Rattus norvegicus: one gene and its partners. The protein of the gene in region 1 interacts with the protein of each later gene in a pairwise test. Links are inferred from orthologs where the notes say so. Each region holds a gene or a part of one and is shown in the gene's direction. Other genes may lie near its edges. The genes, in order: Ewsr1, Mapk1ip1l, Mvk, Fxr2, Atpaf2 and Khdrbs2.

Region 1 (3,500 bases):
GAATTTAATTTAACACTAATTCGGCACATGAAGCATTGAGAGTGTATTTGGTTAATGGTTTAGAAACAAACGAGCAAAGGGAAAAAAAACCCTAGCAAACTCACAAACGCTAAAGGGCCACTGCTCCATTTTAGCAGTGCGGGTCATTTTGAATTAATGAGTCCCCATCAAATGGTGGTGTAGTAGATAGCTGTGTGTGTTTGTAAGGTTTGTAGCTTGCAAGGCTTGCACTAACAATATTTTATATGATCTTTCCTGGTTGGCAGGACCCATGGATGAAGGACCAGATCTCGATCTAGGTAACTTTAAGTTCTTGAACTTTAACTGAGCTGTTTTGAATGAATGCCATAGAAGCAAGAGTCCAGCAGCTCAGCAGACTGATACCAGTACACTGACCCATTGGGGGTGGGGGGAGTTTGGGACTTCCTTTAAATTGTTTTAAAGTAATCAAAAAACTTCGTCTTATTATCAGTATAGTGTGCGGCTCATTCTCTTGCCATTGTGATGAATACTGTTTGATAATAATGGCCGATTGGACCAGAAGCCTTTATTATTATCTGGGCCTGATGGGCTGTGTCTGGGGTTGAAAAATAATTAGAAGTTTGAGGCCAGCCTAGCTCCAAAAAAAGAAGCCACTGTTAATTCAGAGCAGTAATTGTGTTTTATCTCATTTTCTCTGGAAGGCCTTCCTATAGATCCCGATGAAGACTCTGACAACAGTGCAGTTTATGTGCAAGGATTAAATGACAGTGTGACTCTGGATGATCTGGCAGACTTCTTTAAGCAGTGTGGGGTTGTCAAGGTGAGTGATAGTGATTGGGTGATCTAACAGAAATTGGGTCCACGGAACATATTTGAGATGCTTGGACTGTGCTGAGAATTGTTCCTTGACTGTTTCGTTGACATCTTGCGTTCACTCCTTAAAACACTCTTTAATTCAAGCCCTGTGTGAGGGCTGGGAGGAGCTAGTGGTGGAGCACCTGCCTGGTATGCATTCGATAAGAGCGTTGAACTACAAGATAAATACCCGCCCCCTTGTTATCTGGGTTGTTACTGTTTTTTTTTTTTTTTTTTTTTTTTTTTTTTTTTTTTTTTTAAAACAAGATCTCATGCGATCTGGCCATGTAGCAAAGGATTACCCGATCCCCCACCCCAAAATGCTCAGTTTACAGTCTTGTGTACCATACCCAGCTTTAGCCAGATGTTTGTAGATGAAGAATGCTAGGCAGCTGGTGATTCTGTTACTGAGTCTGCTGTTCTCTCAGAAATAAACTTGTCTTTTTCTGTTATGAAGAGGAAAGGTGATTTTTCTTAATATTCCCTGAATGCTTAATATCTTGGAGACTTTTTTTCCCCAAATTATCACTTAATTTAAATAATTACAAAAAACACTAAAACACGTTGTGTGATGTAGAGAAGAGGGACATTTACATCTTTATAGATTGATTTCCTAGCATAAGGGCTAAGGTTTGCCAGAGGGGTTAGTGTGTGCCTTTGATGCCAACACTGAGGGAGGGAGGGAGGGAGGGAGGGAGGGAGGGAATAAAAAGGCAGAGAAGCAGAGCTTTAGGAGTTTCCTTTGAGAAAGGGCCTCATCCTGTAGCTCTAGCTGGCCTGGAGCTTACAGAGGTCACCTGCTCCTTGGTTTGATGACACACCTATTGTTTGCTAGCTTGTTTTTCTTTTCCCTGTTTACAGGCCTGTTGTGACATTTTGTTGAAAGGTTTACCTGAGTCTTCATTCCCAGGAAGTCTGGTTCTTCTGCTTTTTTCTCTTTACAGTTATCTTAAAACTCCCATGTTTTGTGGGCAGGCCTGTGCGTGTGATGCACAGAGTAGCTCTGGAGGTCAGAGGGAACTTGTGAGAGTCTGGTCTTCCCTGGTGTGGGATCCATGCATTGATGTAGAGGCAGGTGTGACCAGTCCTCTATACAGGTTAACAATTTATAATGCAGTTTGAGAATAAATAATGTTTTCTGATATTAAAGCCTTAAAGGTGTTCAGTTGGCTTTTAAAATTATACTTTCTGTTTATGTGTCTCTTAAGTTTATGTCCGTACCACATGGGTGTGGGCACCCAAGGAGGCCAGAAGAGGGTGTCAGATGTCATGAAACTGGCGCTATAGGCAGTTGAAAAGTCTGACCTCAGTACTGCAGACTGAACATAGATCCTGTGCTAGAATGCCCATGGGTTCTGTAAGATTTTTTCTCTGGCTCTTTGTGCATGCACACACATTTAACATGTACTGTTAATGATTTTCTGTTGCCTTACCCACTCTGGGGAAAAGTGGTCCCCAAATTCCTACGTTTGTATTTTATATTTAAGATGTTGATTATTGGCTGGGTGTGATGTGCATGCCTAAGGAGACAGAGGCAAGTAGATCTCTTAAGTTTAGGACAGCCTAGTCTATAAGCATGTTCCAGGACAAACTAGGGCCACACAGGGAAATCGGGGAGGAGGGAGGGTGATTATTTTTGTTCAGTTATTAATTTAGAAAAAGTGTATCTTGGACTGGAGGGATGGCTCAGTGGTTAAGAGCACTGACTGCTCTTCCAAAGGTCCTAAGTTCCAATTCCCAGCAACTACCTGGTGGCTCACAGCCATCTGTAATAGGATCCGATGCCCTCTTCTGGTGTGTCTGAAGACAGCTCCAGAGTACTCACATACATTAATTCTTTTTAAAAAAAAGAAAAGATGTCAAGGGACAACTTGCAGAACAGTTAGTTCTACTCTGCTGGAGATCCAACTCAGGTTGCAGACTTTCAGCCTGTGCCTTTACCTGCTGGGCCCCCTTGTTAGCCTCTTTGTGTGTAATCTGCTTGGACCTTAAACTTACTTCCCACGGTGGCCTTGAACTAAACTTACTCTTCCTACTCCTACATCCCAAGTGCTGGGGTTATGTGCTTGAGCGACCATGTCTAGCTAGTTTTGGTTTGTTTAGTTATAGGGGTGGGGGGTGTTTTGGGGGATTTAAGATTTATTTAGTCTGTATAATGTTCTGCCTGCATGCCAGAAGTGGGCATCAGATCCAATTACAGATGGTTATGAGCCTTCATGTGGTTGCTGGGAATTGAACTTGGGTCCTCTGGAAAAGTAGCCAGTGCTCTTAACTGCTGAGCCATCTCTCTTGAAACTCAAGATTCTCCTTTCCTCTAACGTCTGAGTGCTACGATTAAAAATGTGTCCCAAATCACCCAGCCACTGTGTGTGTGTGTGTGTGTTGTTTAGGAAGAGAGGCAGACTCATGCGTTCGTGCACATAGAGTTGTACTATCAATTGGGGTGTGCTCTGGCCAAGTCAGGAGTTTGCCATCACGTCTGTTTGCTTCCTTGTGGACAGAGAGGTTGCATAGGGGTTAAGGGTATTGGTTGCTTTTCAGAGGACCTGGATTCAGTTCCAAGAGATCCAGCACATAAGCGGTATATAGACACATGTTGTTAGAATGCTCATTCACAAAAAGTAGAGATTTTAAAATGCAGGTCCTCGTTCATATGGGGCTGG
Region 2 (4,053 bases), on another chromosome or scaffold:
CCGGCCCTGCACATCCGGACTCTGACAATGAGCAACCTTTATGAAACTCTAGTTCTGCATATTCGGGCTCTGACAATGAGTAATCTTTATGAAACTCTAGTTCTACACTGACATACATCGAAATATCAAATCAAAAGTCTAGGAAGGAAAAAACTAGAAAGTTTATGTATATGCTCAGACTTTGCTTTTCAGTATGTCAGTTTTGAGTCTCCCAGAAACAGAAGCCAGTCGCAAAAACCAACAACCCTCATCTTAAAGCATTGGTAATGCTGTGACCCTTTAATACTGTTCCTCATGTTGTGGTGACCCCCAACCATAAAAATTAGTTCATGGCCACTCCATAACTTTTTGCTACTGTTTTGAATAATATAAATATCTGATATTCAACCCCTGTGAAAGAGTCGACTCCCAAAGGGTTCATGACCTACAGGTTAAGAACCACTGTTTTCAATTTAAAACTTAAAGGGGAATAAGAGATAGCTTATTCTGGAGCCATTTTGAATGAGGATGACCCCAGAACACACATTTGAGTTACCTCAAATTCTATGTCCCAACCTGAAACCAGTATCAGGACGTTTTTAGCTTTACAGAACAGAGAATGCCATAAACCAAGCAGTTTAAAACACACTGGCGGGTACATTGGAGGATAGATACATCAAGATAGAGGTAGCTTTTCTGTAGATCTAAGACACTATCCGATGACATTCTTGGCTTTTGGATTATCAGAAGCTAGTTGCCTGTTAATAGATTCTAAAAGTTTTTAATCCTTTTGCCACAAGATGTTCGTTTTGACGCGCAGTTGACTGTTCTGGAGGGCTAGCACTAGCCCAAGAAAAGGTAATCGACCTCTGCACCTGCAACATTCCAATCTCTCCACAGTACTGAAATTCTAATTGGCCACTCGGTTTCTGCAGACAGCTTCTTCAAAGGTTTTCATTCTCAAGACCTTTAGAAAGACTTCCCTTTTCCCTCATCTCTTTACCCTCGATTTTAGCTGGACTACTGACAGTCAGCTTGGAGCCTGTCTGCAAAAACCGCTGAACATAGGGAATCCAAAATGCGCTCGCAGCCCCTGGGATGCGGCGAGCATCACCAGCCTAGGGCTTGTCCCATTCCCGCGCTCCACACGGAGGAAACAGTCCAGGCCCCAGCAGCCACGCGGCCCTGCCTGCAGTCCCATGGGCAGCCCGCTGGAGGCGCAGTGCAGCTGGGCGGGGCGGGCGGAAATAACGGGCGGCGGGGCCAGCCTCCCTGCTTCCTTTTCCGGTGCCGGGAGGAGCCGTGTCGGTGCCGCCTCGGTCCATCAGGCCTCCTGCGGTTCTCCATTGCCCGTCTCTCTGGATTCACCGTCGCCACTGTGCCGCGCCTAGGACTCGGATCCTGCCGGGTGAGTCCGCTCGGGCGCTTGCGGTGGGGCGCGAGGCTTGGGGGGAGATGATGCGAAGACGCGGGGTCCCCGGGGGCCTGGAGGCTCTAGAGCTTTCGATGGGGAGGATCCACCGGGGACCAGGCGACCTAGAGGTCTAATGTCGCTCCTGTCGGGTTCCGGGGCGCCCACATCATGCCAGACTTGGGGGGTAGGGCGGGAGCGGGCGACCCTCCCCCACATCCCGCCGGCGTGACCGGCCTGGGGCTGGTTCGCTCCGGTTGATCCCGGATTCCCTTTGTTCCCTTAACCCTAAAGGGCAGCTTGTTTGGCACCCCTTCCACCAATATCCTAGTCACTAATTTCTAATAAAAAACGGCAGTGGAGGGGAGACCCTTACGGGGAGGTCTGGCGCCTGATAATTCTGTGTGACAGGATTCTTGCTGTTCGTAATTACCCATTCGTTAAATGACTACCCGGGACAGAAGATGCCATGGGCTGAGTGACGTTTTCCTTTTGAAGGATCTGGGCTCAGCTAGAACGCTTGAACCATTTTTTTTTTTCCCTCCCTGCCTTGAAAACCGAAAGTAATGTCTTCACTAATCCTGAAGTTGAAGTATCAAAACCAGGCCCCACCGTAGATATGTTACAGCCTACTTCACAGAAATACACACGTGTTGGGCCCCTCCATCCCCCATGTGTTAAAGGCCTGTTCTGAAGCCAAACCCTCATTACCGAGTCGCCTTCAGAAGTCTTTGTTAGTGGGTCTCCTTGGGTGGGGAGGAGGGCAGTTTTCTCATTCGTGGAGTATAGGAGCCATTCTCTAAAACAATTTGCTTCAAAAACTTTTTAATGCAGTTGCAGAAGTTAGAATGTTCCTTTTTTGATTACAGAAGGAATCGGTGCCCAGCTTCTTTCTCCTAACTGAGAGGTTGAGCCTTTGGGGCCAGTAAGCTTAGGAATTCAGCAGTGTTCAGATTCTGTGATTGTTAGTATAGAGGGGCAGTAACAGCCATAGACTCGGGGACTGTTAATCAGTTATTAGTATTTGTACAGGGTGGGCCTGGAGTTAGGTGATAAAGCGCCAGCCTGGCTTGCTACAAGGTCCTAAATTCCCAAAACTTTAGGGGATGAAAAAATGCAAATATCGTAAATATTCAGACTACAGCTGGGGGTGAGTGGAAAACGAAATGGATAAATAATGTCTGGTCAGCTTTTGCCACCAAATAAATACTTAGGAGATTGTATATTTTTTAAAGTTTTCTGCTTTGAAAATAGACAAAGGTTTGGGGCCATGTTGTATCGGTTTTAAAAGCTAATCTTTGTTGAGTTTTTTGCTCAGTGTCAGGCAGTGACTTAAAAGATTTATTTATAGATTTCTATAAGGCTCAGCAAATCTGTGGAAAAATACCCATTTACTCTTACGTATAAGACTCAGAGACCTGGATTTGACGGTAGGCCAGACAGGCAGTCTACTCTGGTAGTCTTTTTGTTCTATGTGTATGAGTGAGAAAGAGGAGCTGGAGAGAGATGGCTCAGGTTGAAAGCCATCGCTGTCCTTGCAGAGGACTGGAGTTCTGTCCCAGCATTCACATGAGGCAGCTCACAGCTTCCTAACTCCAGGGAATTCAGCGCCTCTAGCCTTCTTGGGAACCTGCATGGAGGTGAGCAAACCCATGTATACCTTTTTAAAATGTTAAAAATCACAAGAGGAGAGAATTGGGTATTTGTTGCTCATTCCGTCTTCCAGTTTTAGTTGGGTCAGATGCAGCCCTGTGTGGTTCCACGAATCACCGCCTACTCTAACTTTATGAAGAAACTGAAGTTGACTCGGTCAAGTGAGCTAAAGTATTAGGACTCTTGTCCAAAGCCCTCTGCTAAAACTTCTTACTGCTTTCTGGTATTCCAGCCAACCCGAACTGCTTCTGCTTTTCCACAGACTGTTCTCTCTGGTTTTATACAAACTGATCTTACCCTGGAGCCTGTCTTTAACCTTCTACTCTTACTTTTATTCCAATCTACAGAGACACCACTTCTCAAGAATGCCCATGCCATGCCACCAATTACTCTAAAGCCCAGCAGGATTGGAACTTGTGTTCCAGTGAGTCGGAATAAATTATAAGAGCTTCTACTGTGAACTTTAGGTGTTCAAAAACATTCCAAACTTTTTTAGGTACCCAGTTATAAAATGGAATATAATCTGGTAAATTACCCAGTACTAAATGCTAACAATTCTAATCAGAATCTGCTTTCAATATAATATATGCTAATGTAGTACTCAAAATTAACCTTTAAGCCCCACCCATCCAAGGACCCAGTAACTTCCTGGAATGCTAAGAGTAGTTCTTGGGAAATAATAAAGCCTTGTGGGAAAGAATGGTGCCAGTGAGTTTTGTCCATAAAAACCCCTACAACATGTGTCTCCAGGCCACTGAGCTGGAAGTTCTAGGAAGTGTTCCTGACCAAAGCCCATCGCTTGGTCAGTATTTAATACCTAATAAAGCTTCCTTCAAATTTGGCCCAAAATAGTGTGATTGGTTTTTCGCTGGTGAATCTCAGAATTAACACTATCACACTCACCCATACAAAAATCACAAAAGTCCTGATTTTCCTTAGTTTCTCTGAATTGCTTGCCAATTATCATCAATAACCCAATGGATTTTTAGCTTTCTTAAACTTTGAGGATG
Region 3 (4,190 bases), on another chromosome or scaffold:
ATCTCTTGTCAGCCATTTCCCCGCTGTCCCTTCTAGACAGCTTCTTGTCCCTGTCTCTACCCTTACAGTGGGTGCTGTAGTGCATGTCTCAATGAAGATGCTTCACAAATACTGGCTAAAAGGACTATCCAATCACTCCACGTAGCCCACGCTCCACAGTGGACTAAAGTCACTAGCTCCTCGAACTGCTCTTCAGCTTCTCCTTTGAGGAAACTGGAGCCCACAAAGATTCAGCCTCCTAGATCTCCAGGAAGAGACTGGGCTGGGATTCACATCCAAAACTCTTCTACTGTAAACCTGACCTGGACCATTAGCCTCCCCAAACTCTTGCTTCTCGTCTACCCTAACCCCAACCCTCTACCACAAAGTTAGGGCTTCTTGGGGAAAGAAAACCAGGCCACTTGCATTTTCTAAGGTGTTGAGTGTCAAGGCACTGTCAAAATGGAATTTCAAAAATGCTGTTTTCACTTAAAAACTTTTTTTTTTTTGAGGCCTGAGCCTGAACCCTAGCCTTTAGGCAAGCTAGGCAAACAGTGTACCACCAGGCCACATCCCCAGTTCTTGCTCCAGAGCCCTCAGGAGTCTTCCATTTTCAAACAGTGCACAGCTTAGATGTATAGCTTAAAAGTAAAATGTGAATTCTCAAGGTTGTTGGAAAGTCAGAGGACTGGAGCGGAAATGTTGATTATGAGCTCATGGTAATCTGTAAATCCTGATGCAAGTTTCAAAGTGTTACCATGTCTTCCTGGTATCTTAATTGTAATCCAAATAAACTGCCTGGGAGGCTGGACAAAACCCACAAAGACATCCCCTGCCCCGACTGACTCCTGCTGGACTGCCTTAAAACTTGTGCAGGAAATCCTGACCTCTGACGCCATGCTGACCCCGATGACGTCAGGCCACAGAGAACACGTCATCAGTGTGACATGCCCACGGAAACAAAATAACTATTCTCCTCACACCTCGTGTTGAGTTACTCTCCCAGCCTGAAACTCACCTGTCCCCGTCTTCCCCACCCTGAGGGCCAAAGCTCTGGAAACGGGGACACAGCAGCCTGCACCCGCCGAGACGCCCGCGCAGGCCGAGGCGGCCCCCAAAGGTCCACACAGCCATGAGTACGGTAACGCGTCCAGGGCTGACCCAACCAGGCACCCGTCCAGGCCCGCGGAGGACTCCGCCCCGCAGCCGGCCGCGCCACCTCTCAATGGCTGTTTCCTATTGGCCTGTGGCACTCGCACCAGGGCGGGGCAACCCCCGGGACTTGTTTCCCATTGGATGACGATTAGAAAGAGGCGGGGCAATCTCCGTTTGTTTGAAATTCCCATTGGTCAATGTTCGACCCAATCCGTAAAGGGAACCTCGACTCAAGCTCTCTGATTGGCCGGAGGAAGACACGCCTGCCTCCTTGGGGCTCTGCCCTTTGATATGGAGAAGACCGGGAGCTACTGCCGGAGTTTCGGCTCACCTGGGCGCTGGCCGGGGCAGGTGAGAGGCCTGGACTGCGGGTTGGGTGATGTGAGGGTTGGGTCCCGGACACCCTGGGCCGGGCGCCGCGGTCCTCTGTCTTAGTTTTCTCGATCCCAGCGGTCGGCGACCTCAGGTCGGACAGTTCCCGGTAGACTGGGGTCTCGGTGGCTACTGAGTATGCAGTGGGGTGGCCAGTGCAAGGGAGTTCCAGTGAAGCCTTGAACCGGGTGACTTTGCGTTATTTATAACAATGTAAAATGCGTGCACCCATAAATCCAGCAAAAGCACTTGGTGAGACTCTGCCTTGCACAAGTTATTGTTTAAATGTGCAACACGAGGTGTAACAGGTAAGCCCCGCAGCCTTGTGTATAACTGTGACAGGTTGGTTGTGGCCTCATGTCCTGGAAGAATTCTTTCTTTTGCAAGATTTTATGTAAACCTCGCGTTTCCATACCATCAAACGCATAACCGCCCTCATGTTAGGCAAGCATTCCACGACTGAGCCGTGCACTCGGAGGTCATGTCAGTTTCTACCAGCAGCAGGGATAGTCCCGTCATTACCTTGTAGCTCTCTGTGGTATAGATGCTACTTTGCCAGACTGACAGGTCCTGCTGCTTCTGGTCCTTTGAATCAGTCTTCAGTGTTGTCTCTATTAGCTGATTTGTGGGAAACAGATTCATGGCAGTTTTCCTAAGACATGCTGGGGACGGAAGGGCCAGTGTCTGAATCCAGATTTTTTTCCATTGTCCAGCTGACTGGCTCACTGCCCTGTCATCCTGGTACATAGTTCTGGATGGTAGTTCCACGAAGAGACAGAGTTTCTCTATATGGCGCTGGCTGTCCTGTAACTCACACTGTAGACTAGGCTGGCCTCCAACCCCCAAAGAGATCCACCTGCCTCTGCCTCTTGAGTGCTGGGATTAAAGGTGTGGACCTTCCTGGTGTTTGTAGCTAACATCTAGGAAACTTTGTTTTTCCTCTCTGCTGCTTTTTCTTTCAGGAGTCTCAGGAGCCATGTTGTCAGAAGTCCTGCTGGTGTCTGCTCCAGGGAAAGTCATTCTCCATGGAGAACATGCTGTGGTCCATGGCAAGGTAAAAACTCCCCAGAGATGGGCTGGAGAGACAGCTCAGTGGTTAAGAGCACCGACTGCTCTTCCAGAGGTCCTGAGTTCAAGTCCCAGCAACCACGTGGTGGCTCACAATCATCTGTAATGGGATCTGATGCCCTCTTGTGGTGTGTCTGAAGACAGTGACAGTGTACTCACATACATAAGATAAATAAATAAATCATTAAAAAACAAAAACAGGGGGTTGGGGATTTAGCTCAGTGGTAGAGCGCTTGCCTAGCAAGCGCAAGGCCCTGGGTTCGGTCCCCAGCTCCGGGAAAAAAAAAACCTACAGGTTGGGTGGAATCACCCAGGAAGTGAGTGTTGGTGGAGGGGGAAGAGCTTAGAGAACTGGACTCTGGGAACATTGCAGTGTTGAGGAATTGGAAAGATGGTGTGGTAGAAGTGTTGCATACTTGTATTATCTCATTTAAACCTCGGCCCTAACCCAGGTCGGATGTGTAGTCTTCTATTTTGTAGATAAAGCTGAGGCTTAGGAGAGAGTTGGTAACTTGACCAAGCACATTACACCCTCTCCAACCCTCATCCTTTACGGTCTTGTGTGTGTGCGTGCGTGCGGGTGTGTGTGTGTGTCTGTGTCTGTGTCTGTGTGTCTGTCTGTCTGTCTGTCTGTCTGTCTAGGCTAAGAGACAACCTGAGGTCTGTCTGCCTGTCTAGGCTAAGAGACAACCTGAGGTATCATTCCTCAGGAGGCACTGTTTACCTCGGATTTTGAGCCAGCCCTTCTCATAATCTTACATGAGTTTGTTGGGATGGGGGAGGGTAGGCGGCCAGCAACCCCCCCAGGATCCTCCCATCTTTACTTCCAGAACGTATGGCCGCTGGCCCGTGAGCCCCTCACCTTCAGGCTTACCAGTTTTGCCCTTCATTTTGCAGGTAGCTCTGGCGGTGGCCTTGAACTTGAGAACATTTCTCGTGCTGCGACCGCAGAGCAATGGGAAAGTGAGCCTCAATTTACCAAACGTCGGTATTAAGCAGGTCTGGGATGTGGCCACACTTCAGCTGCTGGACACAGGCTTTCTTGGTTAGTACAAAGAGGGGGAGCCTGGTATGACAAGAGCCTGGCCCCTGAAGGAAGTGGGGAAGGGGTGACAGACAGAGTGGTTACTTCAGGCTGCTTGTGGGGAGCCAGAAAACGATGTTGTCCTCCGACCCCAGAAAATTGGCTTCATTCACTTCGTACAGGACTTAATTTTGTTTGTTTGTGATACCAGACCTCACAGAGATCTGCCTGCCTCTTTCTCTCAAGTGCATGCTCCACCACACCTAGCTAGTTTGTTTTAAACATGTAGAACTGTGCCCTGGATCTCTGTGGACTGCTGTGTGTGGATCTTCCAGGCTCACCGTAGAGTAAAAATGTTAAGCTGTTGAGTTAGTTACCCTTCTTGTTGCTATGACAAAGGCAACTTGAGTATGTATTGTGGCTCTCGGTTTGAGCCACATAGTCCATTGGGCTCCTGGCAGGAGTGTAAGGTACCTGGTCACATTCCCTCTGTAGTCAGGAAGCAGAGAGAGAAGAATGGCTCTACTCCTCCCCGTTATTCAGTCTAGAACTCCGGGGATGGTGCTATACACACCCAGAGTGGGTCTTCCTA
Region 4 (3,500 bases), on another chromosome or scaffold:
TGTCAGTATTTAGCTATTCAGTTTCTATGTGACTAACAATGGTTTTCACGTAGCCTACCTCATTTCTTTTATGTTTCCTTTTTTTTTTCTTCTTCTTCTTCTTTTTTCCCTTTTCTTTTTTTTCGGAGCTGGGGACCGAACCCAAGGCCTTGTGCTTGCTAGGCAAGCGCTCTACCACTGAGCTAAATCCCCAACCCCTTATGTTTCCTTTGAGACAAGTTTACTCTTCTTGTTTACTCTTGGCTGGCCTGTTACTCACTAAAGCTGCCCTTGAGTTTGTGACACTTTTCCTGCTTTACCTTCCCTAGTTTTGAGGTAGGCATGACCACCTTTTTTTCCCCTTTTTTCTATTTTTCCTTTTAAGAATATATACATCATTTTCTGTAGGTCAGAAGAGGTCACCAGATGTCATAGGTTGAACTCAGGACCTCTGGAAGAGCAGTCAGTGCTCTTAACCACTGAGCCATCCCTTCAGCCCATGCTACCACCTTATTTTAAACTTCATTTCTTGCCAGGTGGTGATGGTGTACGCCTTTAATCCCAACACTCAGGAAGCAGGCAGAGGCAGGCGGATCTCTGTGAGTTCAAGGCCAGCCTGGTCTACAGAGAGTTCCAGGACAGCCACGGCTACACAGGGAAAACCCTGTCTTGAAAAACAAACAAAAATCCAACTTCATTTCTTGACACCTGCCCTTTTTCAGGGACTCTGACATTCTGATGCCAAGTCCCTAATGCTTCCCTGGTGTGTATTTTGCTTTTTTTTTTTTTTTTTTTTTATTTTATGTGTGTTGCTGGTTTGCCTAGATGTGTGTCTGCGTGAGGGTGTCCGATCTCTTGGAATTGAAGTTACAGACAAGTGAACTGCCATGTAGGTGCTTAGAATTGCACCTAGCTCCTCTGCCAAAGCAGTCAGTTCTCTTAACCTCTAAGCCACTTGTCTTAGGGTTCCGTCTCTGAGCCATGTATTTTGCTTTTATACATCCTGTTCATCATTCCTCAGTCAACCACAGAAGCCCCTGTGAAGAGGGCATCTTTGCTGGGTGACATGCATTTCCGAAGCCTTCGTACCAAATTGCTGCTCATGTCCCGCAATGAAGAAGCTACTAAGCACCTAGAGGTAAGTTTTGGCTGCTGTTTCTCATAATAATAATAATAAAATGTTCTTTCCTTTTTCTTTTCCTTTTGTTTTTGAAACACATACACAAAAGCTGCTAGGCCATTAATCCTATTTTATCTCATAATTTTCAGAGGACAGTATTCTATCATGGTTTTGGTATGGTTTTAAAAAGTTTGATTTTGTTTCTGTTGTAGGTTTTTGTTTTTGAGAGATTCTCTGTATAGCCCTGACTGTCCTAGAACTCAAAAGAAATCCACATGTCTCTGACCCTGGAGTGCTGAGATTAATGGCATGTACTACCACTGCCCAGCAATGTTGCTTTGTAACAGGGTCTCACTGGTCTCCTGGCCTAGAATTCTTAGTGTTTTACTGCTGAGAACAGACACCATGACCAAAACAACTCATACAAGGACAAAATTTAACTGGGGCTGGCTTCCAGGTTTAGAGGTTCAGTCCATTATCATCAAGGCTGGAACATGGCAGTGTCCAGGCAGACATGGTGCAGGGGGAGCTGAGAGTTCATCTTCATCTGAAGGCTGCTAGTGGAGGGAAGACTGGCTTTCAGGCAGCTAGGAAGAAGCCCACGACATACCCCACTCCAAGCAAGACTACACTTCTTTTTTTTTTTGGTTCTTTTTTTCGGAGCTGGGGACCGAACCCAGGGCCTTGCGCTTCCTAGGTAAGCGCTCTACCACTGAGCTAAATCCCCAGCCCCAAGACTACACTTCTAAAAAATTTTTTTTTTTCCCTAGAGCTGGGGACCAAACCCAGGGCCTTGTGCTTGCTAAGCAAGTGCTCTACCACGCTAAATCCCCAACCCCAAGGCTACACTCCTAATAGGGTGGCCACTCCCTGCCAGAGCATATACAAACTGTCACATTTCCACTCCCTGGCCCCATAGGCTTGTTCAAACACATGAGTCTTTGGGGGTCATACCTACACATAGCATAATAAAAGATACATTTAGGGGGTTGGGGATTTAGCTCAGTGGTAGAGCGCTTGCCTAGCAAGCGCAAGGCCCTGAGTTCAGTCCCCACCTCCGAAAAAAAAAATACATTTAGTCCAACTTCCAAAGTCCCCATAGTCTATAGCAGTCTCAACAGTGTTAAAAGTCCAAAGTTCAAGGTCTCTTCTGAGATTTATCCACTCACTTAACCTTAATCCCCAAAGAAAGACTGGAAATGAGCCAGGCAAACTCCAAACCCTGCATCTCCATGTCTGATCTCAATGTGGTCTTCAGATCTCCAACTCCTTTTCATCTTTGTTGACTGCAACAAACTTCTTTCTCCTGGGCTGGTTCCATTCCCTGTTAGCAGCTTTCCTCAGCAGATAGCCCATGGCTCTGGCTCTCTAACGCCCCATCCATTACCAAGTACAGCTTTGAGGTACAACCTTGGCTATCTCTAGAATATAGCTTCTTTGTGCTCTCAGAAAACACTCCCCAGAAGATTTCACCTCAGTGATGCTGGTCTCCTTCCTATCTATCTATCTATCTATCTATCTATCTATCTATCTATCTCTATCTATCCATTCATTCACTCACTCACTCACTCATTCATTCAAAGTACACTGTAGCTAGGTAGCTTGCTTGCTTCTTTCTTTCTCTTTCTTTCAAGTACACTGTAGCTGTCTTCAGACACGCCAGAAGAGGGCATCAGATCCCATTACAGATGGTTGTGAGCCACCATGTGGCTGCTGGGAATTGAACTCAGGACCTCTGGAAGAATAGCTAATGCTCTTTTTTTTTTTTTTTTTTTTTTGGAGCTGGGGACCGAACCCAGGGCCTTGCGCTTCCAAGGTAAGCGCTCTACCACTGAGCTAAATCCCCAGCCCACTAATGCTCTTAACCATTGAGCCATCTCTCCGGCCTAGTGCTGGTCTCTTCTTAGTCACCTCTAATTTCTTAGTTCTAGCTAACCAGCATCAATTTCCCAGTAGTTTCCTCTTGACTACAAAGCCAGATACATATGACTGAAGTTGCCAAAGTTCTGCTGCTTGCTGGGGCTGAAACATGGCCCCCTTGTTCTGTTACATCATCACCATCACCAGCTTTTGGTTTTCTAACTTCTTTTTTTTTTTTTTTTTTTTAAGATTTATTTATTATATATATAAGTACACTGTAGCTGTCTTCAGACACACCAGTAGAGGGCATCTGATCCCATTACAGATGGTTGTGAGCCACCATGTGGTTGCAGGGATTTGAATTCAGGACCTCTGGAAGAGTAGTCAGTGCTCTTAACCACTGAGCCATCTCTCCAGCCCAGGAACTTGCTCTGTAGATTGATCTTGAACTCAGATCTCCTGGGATTAAAGGCGTGTACCACCATGCCTGAACCTAAACTTAGCTGGGGTGGGATCTTGTCCCAAGGTCACCCACTCCCTT
Region 5 (4,288 bases), on another chromosome or scaffold:
TCAGGAGACAAGGTCTTAACACTAAGTGGTGCAACTGGAGATATCTGGGTGTGAGTACCTGGTCTTTGGGGAGCCTTAACCTTTGTGGGTTGTTTCGGCCAATGGAGGGAGGTTGCCCACCTCGCCCCGGTCGCCCCGAGAGCAGCGGGCTGACTGAGTTCTCCAAACTCAAAGGAGCAAGGTCCCTGGCACTTTGGATGGAGTTAGGGTCAGAGGAAAAGCTTCATTCTGGGAGAATGTGACACTGGCCGCTACTGAGTTTGGGGCAGCCAATGAAGAGTTTTTCAGGATCCGACAGGGATTGGTGGGAGGGCTGGCTGGTGTAGGGAGGACAGGACAGGACTTGGGAAGAACCGACCCAGGCTAAAGGACGGCTAGTCATGGGGGTGCTTCCGGATCCCAAGCGGGAGAGTCAAAGGCTCCAAGTGTGGGACAGTCTTCGGGGTCTGTCGGAGGCTGGCCGCTACAGGCTCTGAGTCTAGGGGTGGGTTAGGGGTAGGGTTCGAGAGTGTGACATCAGCTGGGCAGGTCCCGGTGGGAGGCGCCGGGTGCAGGAGGCCCCGGCAGTGAGGGCCTGGTCCGCGGCTGAGGGCTCGAGGAGCCCAGGGCAGGCCCGGCCCGTGAGCGCCGCGAGGAGGCCCTCGGGCCGGGCCTTGCCGCCTGGCGCTCACCTGCAGCACCACCTCTACGTCGTACGAGTTCCCCTTGCTCTTCTGGTGGCCACGGAACTTGGAGCCGCTGTAGAGCAAGCTGGTGGCCACGCCGGGCTGCTGGGTGTTGATGGGCGGCGGCGGGATGAGTGAAGCCGCGGATGTGGCTGAGGCACCCGCCGGCGGGGGACACTCGGTGCGGACCGGCATCGCGGGGTCCCCCGGAGCCAGGGCTGGGGGAGGGGGAAGGAACCGCCGCCGCCGCGCGGGAGCCGAAGCTGCGGGGAGGGCGGACCCGGGCGCGCACGCGCGGGGGAGGGGCTGGGGAACCACCCGCCCGCTGCCGGCTGACCGAGCGCTCGTGTCGCCACCTGGACCCCGAGACCTGCAAGCAGGGCCTCCCAGTCCTGAGCTGGGCTCCCCTTCCCACTTGCCCTCGCGGGCTCACACATACACACACACACACGCACACATGCACACACACACGCGCACACACTCACTCATACACACACGCGCGCACACACACATACACACACACACACACACACTCGCGCACACACTCACACACATACACACACACACACACACACACAAACACACACACACTCTACTGCTTCCAATTGGCGCGGACCCGCCGGAGAGGCGGGAGCAAGCTCACGCGGCGCTTCCGCCCATTGGCAGACAGAGAAAGCACGTGGTGCGGTGCGCGAATGGCCCTCTGGGACTTGTAGTTTTCTTCCCGTAGCGCGGCATGGAGGGGGCGGGGCGAGCACGCTTGTGATGCTGATTGACGGGGGCGGGGGCGGTACGCAGGGGGCGCGTGGCTGTGACGGCGTGCCGTAGGTGTCATGACGAAGATGGCGGCGTGCTGAGGAGGCTGAGGGCTTTGAACCCTTGGTGAGAGGTTTCCGTACGGAACCAGCGAGGCGTTTGGGGGACTCTCTTCGCTCTATTCCTGTACTGTTTTCACGTATGGGTCCACCCAAACCCTTGGGCATGATGTGGCGAATCTACCCCCGGCTGAGGGACCGGTGGCGCGGTCTCTTGGACCGGCCTCTCGGTGACCCCACCGTTTCATTGTGGCCGGGGCCAGCTCTGAGGCCTCCAGCCCGGGCCTACGTCCCGCCAACAGGTGAGGCCCGGACTTCTGTTACTTTTTGTTCAGGAGCCAAGTCGGGCTCACCTGGCGGAAGGTTTCCGACGTGCAGTGCGGGGTGACTGAGGCAGGGTTCAGGCCCATGAGAATATTCAGAGTAATAGAACTCTGTTTCAGTTTGAAAAATGACATCCAAACCAGTGCGGGAGTGACTTTAGGGGACACAGCGTTTCCAGGGTAGGAGATATTTGGCTGAGGCTTCTCTCAGTTTCCTTTCTTTTTCTTCGCCTTTTGCTTGTTTCATTTTTCAAGACAGGGTTTCTCAGTGTAGCCCTGGTTGCCCTGGAACTCACTCTATAGATCAGGCTGGCCTCGAACTCTGAGATCCTCCTACCTCTAGTTCCGGAGTACTGGAATTACAGGCGTGCACCTGGTTCAATTTTTTCCTTTTAAAGGGAAACAGGAGTTCGTTGATTTCAGAAAGGAAAATCTAGGCTTTCAATCAGGACTTCCAAGGTCACAGAGCAGACTGGTTGAAGTTGTGGAGGCAAAGATTAGCTTGACTGCTTTTTGTCTCCAGGACCCAGCCAACACAAGACTTGGCACAGAGCAGGCTGGCTTTAAGTCTAACACCCTCACACACTTCCTTAAGGGTTTGCAGGCCCTCTGTCCTAGTGCAGTGCCACGACCTCTGCATTCTCTGCAGCCTTCTCTATAGTGACGCTTTATACCAGGCTTCTTTGACCTACTAAGGACTGTAATCCTGAAAGAAGGTTATCTCATTGCTTCTGGAGTGAGATTTTACCAGTGAGGTTCACTTTGGTGAATGAAAAGTAATGATGGCCTCCCTCCCTTCGTTGGGTTACATGTTTTGTGTTGAGGGCACGTGGTCTCACCTGAATGGTACGCAACATCAGATGCAGGACTCATTATGCTCACTAAACAATAGTTTGCAATACACTGATGTGGGAAGTACGAAGGACTTGAGAGATCACAAGGATGAGTGTGTACAGGGTGATTGAAAGGGCATTCAAACTGGGGCTTGATAGATGAGTAAGAGGTTGCTGGGGGGGTTGGGGATTTAGCTCAGTGGTAGAGCACTTGCCTAGCAAGCGCAAGGCCCTGGGTTCGGTCCCCAGCTCCGAAAAAAAAGAAAAGGAAAAAAAAAAAAAAGAGTTTGCTGGGGGAGGAAAAGGGTGTAGCATGTCCAGAGGTGATGACTGGGTGTTAGAGATCTTGCTGCAACACTGCCCTCATTAGGCAACAATTCCATAGGCAGTTTGGCATTGGCAGAAGAGTACAAACCTTGGGTCTCTTGTTGGCTAAACTTCTGAGGTACTGTGGTCTTGGGCAGGTATGATGTTGTTTTCTTTGGTGATCTGAAGCATGAGATTGCTTTTAAGGATTCTTTAGGCTGTAAATTCCATAATTTTTTGTTTTACTTAGTATGTATATGTATATATGCCCTTGGCATGTGCATGGAGGTCAGAGGACAACTAGCAGGGGTTGGCTGTGGCTTTCAGGGATTGAACTGTGGATATTGGGTTTTGTGGTCAGTGTCTTTACATGGTGAGCCATTTCCATGGTCTATAACCCATAATCTTATATAAGTGGAAGAAGAGTGGATGCAGCAGGGAGCTGATTTTTACTTATCAGGACATAAACGAAGGCCTAAAAATGGGCTAGGAAGAAGCTTAGTGGTGTCACACACATGTATCAGCTGCTTGGGAGTCTGAGATAGGATCACTTGGGGTCATGGGGGAGGGGGAGGAGAACAGGGCTTGACTTCCACATATCTCATTGTGCCTCACTCATACATTCCTATTTTCTTTCACATTTGACTACCTACTATGTGCTAGATAACGCTAAGAGCCAACTGGTAAGTCTGTATACAAAAGAAAAGATGGCAGATCAAGCACTTCCATGTTGGAAAACAAAAAGTGTCTACTCGTTTAAATTAACCCTTTGCCTATTTAGTGACCTCCCGAATGTCTTTGTTTATGCCTTGCCTCCCTAGGATATGTTCTGCTCTCCAAGTCCTCACCAGGTGTGAGATGTTTCTGTGTATCTCTGAAGCATATAAATTATTAAGTCCTTCTTGATGAAGACTCTAGTTGTCAAGGTCTCTGAGGGACAGCCACACCATGGAAGGTTGTGTGGAGAGGAGGGACATTCGAAGGGCTCACTGCAGCATTACAGGAGGAGGTAGTGTGGTGCAGAGACCTTTGTGAGGCTGTGGCCACCCTCCTGTTTTCTGCCCAGAGGGAGATGTAGTTTGGAGAAGCAGCATTTGGGGCAAATTCCCAAAGAAATAAAAGCTTGAAGTCCTGTACAAATTGCCCCTCTGTCCAAGGCAGCTTCTCCAAGTTTCTGCCACTTTAGAGGCATTGCCTGCTTTGCCATCCTCATAGGCGTGTCAGGGACCAGACTTCTACCTGCTTTTGAAATAAAGTTTTATTGGAACACAGCCACATACTCATACATATTGTCTGATTTTGTTATATTGGCCAGAACAACCTAGAGTATTGACCTCTGCTCCAGA
Region 6 (4,032 bases), on another chromosome or scaffold:
GAGGGTAGGGTAAACCCTGCCTCCTGAAGCTTCCTCCTGGTTAGATTTGAATTTTCTCCTCAGCTTAGGCACAGCTATGAGGTATGTTACATCAACTACAGAAGCAAAATCTGGTTATCTCTGGGCCCTTGTTGCTCAGTGTTTTTGGGAGCTGGAGTGAGTTATCTACTGGATATGAAACATGATAACTTTTCAAAATGTCACACAAAGTCAACATAATATCCCAAGTTCATCTAAAATAAACCATTACAGGAACACTGTGGATAGAATAAGAGAAGTTAGGAAACGTCCAGTAGGTTTTATATACCCGGAAAGTTACCCAGTTGAACAGGTAGAAGAATTGACAAGGGAATGTTAGGGGAAAGACAACCTCAAAGTGAGAAAAGACTCCTTTCATTTGAAGTATTTAAGGTACAATTCAGGGGTCCCATCTGTAAGGGGAGGAAACATTTTTTCCTCCTTTCTTGGTGATCCTTGGGGGCAAAATGCTCATTTGAATAAAGGTAGGGGAGATATAAAATATTTTAGCAACATTCCCAAGGCAGGGAAAGAGACTCAATCAGGTTTAAAATATGAGAACATCAGAGTGACAGAAGTTAGACACCATCTAGCTTCTTTCATTCACAATCCTCCCCGCTAAGTTTACACAGTGAGCAAATTTTCCACCACAGGGATGGGTGGATCCCTAGAACTAATTCTGTATTACGGTGATGTACACTGGAAGCGTTTTGCTCTAGTATAGAATCCAGGCACTTCTTCATTTGTACATCAGTGGACATCCTTCTGCCTCATGATGTAGGTCATGGGAAACACAGCCCACATTTTGCCTCGGATTTCCAACCCTGCCCATGAGCCTGCGATCCGCCAGGGGAGAGACACCTGTGCTGTGGGGACCCTGGTGAAGTGCTCACTTCTGTGTTCCTGGAGCGCAATTTCTCCCTCTCTCACCATCCTGCCTGCCTAACAGTCAGCCCCTACTCCACAGCACTGGCCAGGCCTGAGAACCGGGACCGCAAAGGCGGCCTGGAGAGTGCTCCTGCACTTCGTACACCCCTCCCCTCCGCAGCAGCCTCCTGCCACTCAGGCGACTCGACGTGAGGCCCCGGCCAATGATAGTCCACCGCCTCCGCGGGCGCCCCGCCCCCGGACCCCGCTTCCAATAGGAGGCTGGCGGGGGCGGGCCGCGCGGGCATCCTCTCCAGCTGAGGCCGCGGCCGGAGCCAGGCTGGGGCGCGGGAGAGGCAGGTACCAGCGCGGTCTGCGCAGCCCGAGGCGCTAGAGCTGCGCTCACCGCAGGAAGGACGGTTCCTGGGGGAACCAGGGACCGAGGCGTCCGAGCAGGCGGGATTTGCGCCTGGCCGGCCACGGTCCGAAGTCCGCGCTATGGGAGAAGAGAAATACTTGCCTGAGCTGATGGCAGAGAAGGATAGCCTTGATCCATCTTTTGTGCACGCGTCGCGCCTTCTGGCGGAAGGTAGGACCGGCCCCGGCGACCGCCAGCCCCGACAGGGCGAAGTTGGGGAGGGCGAGCGCTCCGCTGGGTAGAAACTGTCTCTGAGAGCTGCTTCCGAATGCTGGAGCGCAGCGCTGCTGGCCAGGCTCTTCCGAGGCTCAATTAGCCCTGAGGTCTAATGGCAGGGTGGTGCGACCTGTTAGGGTCCTGGACAGGGAAACCAGCAAGTGTCAGGTGGCTCATCGGTACCTTTTCACTTTGCAGAAGACAGCAAAAGCAGTACAGGAGTAAATGAGATCCGTGGAGTGTTCTGAGAGCATCTTGGTCACAGATCAGCGTTATTTATTTATTGTATTTTTTTCCTTCTATGTTTCGAAGTGATTTTAATACCCTTTAATTGCTATTTCCCCCTGGAAAGTCTTAGAATTAATCAACAGTAAAGTATGCATGTTCGTATATTTATGTGAGCATGGTAAGCAGAGGCTAAAGTGCTTATAAACGTATTCGAAACGTGATGGCTGGGTAGTATGCAAGATATTGGTTCCTCGGAACGCTCCATAATTGACCAACTGGTTTTTAAACCAGGTGTGCGTTTTCTTTTGTGTACCTGTGTTGTAGCGGAGATTCGTTTCCCAGAGGAACATCTATGTCTTGCCTTTTGCATTGCTTTGAGAGGTCGTTTGAGAAAAGGTGCACATGAAAACTTCTCCATCAGAAATATTAACCCCAATTATTCCATCTATGTGAAGCAATGGTAGCAAGTGAAGTCATCTCTGGTACCTGGTACCCTGCACTCTCCAATTTAACACGACTGCTGAATTTTTGGATGAACGTTTCGTTAGTGATGAAGTGCTTCCTCCTCAGACTGGCTACCCTGCAGCTTAGGATCTTGAGGTCTTACCCACTAGAAGAATCAGTGACATCTTTCTCTCTTCCAGCTCCTCAGCATTAAAATACATTTGAGATTTAGTTGTGCATCTTAGGAAAAAATTTACTCCTCAGATGATTCAGAGACATTAGATTTACTTTGGCATTTTTAGCGGTTGCTATTTATTATAACCCGTAATAACAAAGTATCTCGTGAAAGACTGCCAGGAAAAATGTGGAAGATTCTAAATACTCACACTGTTTTCACGGGGAGAAGCTGGCTTTGTAGTTAGGCAGTGAAATGCAACCCTGCATACCACAACCTAATAATCAAATGATAATAAATGAAACTGAAAAACTAAAGTCATGAACGACGCTCTTCTCTGCCGTTGGAGAACAACGGCTGCATATCGGAAGATATTGACTCAATAAACATGGACAGATTAAAACTGTATTCTTTGATTGTTTGCTTCACTCCGTTCTTCAGAAGTGTTTCCATTCAATGAGCAATGAAAACAGATTCATAATCTTCTCTGACCTGATAACCGGAGCTCTCTTTGGGACAGAGGGTTCAATAATTGGCCCATCGGTTATTAATGTGTATTAATTGTACTTTTAAAACTTACAGAACTAAAAGATGTAGATAAAAGCCTTACTAGAGTGAGGTGTGGTGCATATTCTTGACCAGTGAAACAGTTAAGAGACCACTAAGTATCTGCTTTCCTGCTGTTTCTTTCTTTCCCAAACACAAGGTTGCTTGAGACTTAGGAAAATTGTTCTAATGCACCTTGTAATTTAATTTTTTCCCAGCAGGGGGAAGCATGGCCTGCTTTTGTAATGGGTTATTTTAAAAAAGCTCCTGGCTAGAAAAGCATCTCACTAAGAAACAAAGAGGGTGCCTAAATTTCAGAGAATTCCTAATGAGAAAAGAGAACAAGAGGAGGAAAGAGGTGGCGGCGGTAATCCTAGAGTAGTCAGATAGTTCCATAAAAAGACGTCCAGGGCCCACATCAGTTCTGTAACTCTACCCGCCTCTTTACACATGCTCACTAGAGTGAAAGGTGAGTGTGCTTTGGAGTCTCAGCGAATCATAATGCACGTGTTGCATTATAGATTTTTTTCCATTGTCTTCTCAAAGGCTATTTGTGAAGGTTTCTAGGATCACCGTAGAGATTTTATTTCTCATACCTGGAAACGTTGCATTCGAAGGCATTGTCTATAAATAAACTTGACACACATACTCCAAGGGAAGGAAGGTGCACACTGGAGTGCACGTCAGCAGTGCTGTGCAGACAGTCTTGAGACTGAGGTGGGCAATAAAAATGATCCAGATGATTCCATTCTTTGGGATGAGTTTCTAGAAGCACTGAGCTCTCACAGTGCCTTACTTTGCCTTCTCCTTAGTGACAGACACAAACCTCTCCTCACTTGTGCCTGCTTCATTTAGTGTGCAAGGCTGTGGGCTGCAAATGACCTCTTTTGGTTGTTTTTATTGTATTTCAGTCCATTTGTTTCTGGTTTGTGTTTTCAGTAGGGGTCATATTTAAAAAAATTAAAAACAAATAATTTGTGATTTTGACTGTTAGTCATGGCAGATCTTGAATAATATGGGTTAAAGGTTTTGCATAATGCATTTGATTAAAATAACTTCCATACTGTAGTTACAGTTTTATGTAGTTAGCCGTTTGTTACGGAAGACGTTTCTGAATCTG

What was found.
Region 2: the proteins of Ewsr1 (region 1) and Mapk1ip1l interact in binary tests that used the Homo sapiens proteins (3 or more experiments, as listed by UniProt). The link is inferred for Rattus norvegicus from reciprocal best matches to the Homo sapiens genes EWSR1 and MAPK1IP1L.
Region 3: the proteins of Ewsr1 (region 1) and Mvk interact in a two-hybrid assay, tested with the Homo sapiens proteins (2 studies listed by BioGRID and IntAct). The two-hybrid records come from large-scale screens. The link is inferred for Rattus norvegicus from reciprocal best matches to the Homo sapiens genes EWSR1 and MVK.
Region 4: the proteins of Ewsr1 (region 1) and Fxr2 interact in a two-hybrid assay, tested with the Homo sapiens proteins (2 studies listed by BioGRID and IntAct). The link is inferred for Rattus norvegicus from reciprocal best matches to the Homo sapiens genes EWSR1 and FXR2.
Region 5: the proteins of Ewsr1 (region 1) and Atpaf2 interact in binary tests that used the Homo sapiens proteins (3 or more experiments, as listed by UniProt). The two-hybrid records come from large-scale screens. The link is inferred for Rattus norvegicus from reciprocal best matches to the Homo sapiens genes EWSR1 and ATPAF2.
Region 6: the proteins of Ewsr1 (region 1) and Khdrbs2 interact in a two-hybrid assay, tested with the Homo sapiens proteins (2 studies listed by BioGRID and IntAct). The two-hybrid records come from large-scale screens. The link is inferred for Rattus norvegicus from reciprocal best matches to the Homo sapiens genes EWSR1 and KHDRBS2.

What each region holds. Positions count from the first base shown.
Region 1 is NC_086032.1:84,184,096-84,187,595, reverse strand, and holds part of Ewsr1 (RNA-binding protein EWS), read left to right. Parts: intron 1-266; coding exon 267-299; intron 300-683; coding exon 684-802; intron 803-3,500. UniProt on the Homo sapiens protein: Binds to ssRNA containing the consensus sequence 5'-AGGUAA-3'. Might normally function as a transcriptional repressor. EWS-fusion-proteins (EFPS) may play a role in the tumorigenic process.
Region 2 is NC_086033.1:23,023,515-23,027,567, forward strand, and holds the start of Mapk1ip1l (MAPK-interacting and spindle-stabilizing protein-like), read left to right. Parts: upstream 1-1,253; 5' UTR 1,254-1,387; intron 1,388-2,931; exon of another isoform or gene 2,932-3,030; intron 3,031-4,053.
Region 3 is NC_086030.1:47,816,704-47,820,893, reverse strand, and holds the start of Mvk (mevalonate kinase), read left to right. Parts: upstream 1-1,390; 5' UTR 1,391-1,485; intron 1,486-2,468; 5' UTR 2,469-2,482; coding exon 2,483-2,560; intron 2,561-3,471; coding exon 3,472-3,619; intron 3,620-4,190. Other genes in the region: corrinoid adenosyltransferase MMAB, read right to left, coding at 998-1,113. UniProt on the Homo sapiens protein: Catalyzes the phosphorylation of mevalonate to mevalonate 5-phosphate, a key step in isoprenoid and cholesterol biosynthesis.
Region 4 is NC_086028.1:54,859,669-54,863,168, forward strand, and holds part of Fxr2 (RNA-binding protein FXR2), read left to right. Parts: intron 1-1,000; coding exon 1,001-1,117; intron 1,118-3,500. UniProt on the Homo sapiens protein: mRNA-binding protein that acts as a regulator of mRNAs translation and/or stability, and which is required for adult hippocampal neurogenesis. Specifically binds to AU-rich elements (AREs) in the 3'-UTR of target mRNAs.
Region 5 is NC_086028.1:45,717,708-45,721,995, reverse strand, and holds the start of Atpaf2 (ATP synthase mitochondrial F1 complex assembly factor 2), read left to right. Parts: upstream 1-1,488; 5' UTR 1,489-1,622; coding exon 1,623-1,782; intron 1,783-4,288. Other genes in the region: Gid4 (glucose-induced degradation protein 4 homolog), read right to left, coding at 672-860. UniProt on the Homo sapiens protein: Plays a role in the assembly of the F1 component of the mitochondrial ATP synthase (ATPase).
Region 6 is NC_086027.1:41,941,838-41,945,869, forward strand, and holds the start of Khdrbs2 (KH domain-containing, RNA-binding, signal transduction-associated protein 2), read left to right. Parts: upstream 1-1,232; 5' UTR 1,233-1,383; coding exon 1,384-1,474; intron 1,475-4,032. UniProt on the Homo sapiens protein: RNA-binding protein that plays a role in the regulation of alternative splicing and influences mRNA splice site selection and exon inclusion. Binds both poly(A) and poly(U) homopolymers. Phosphorylation by PTK6 inhibits its RNA-binding ability.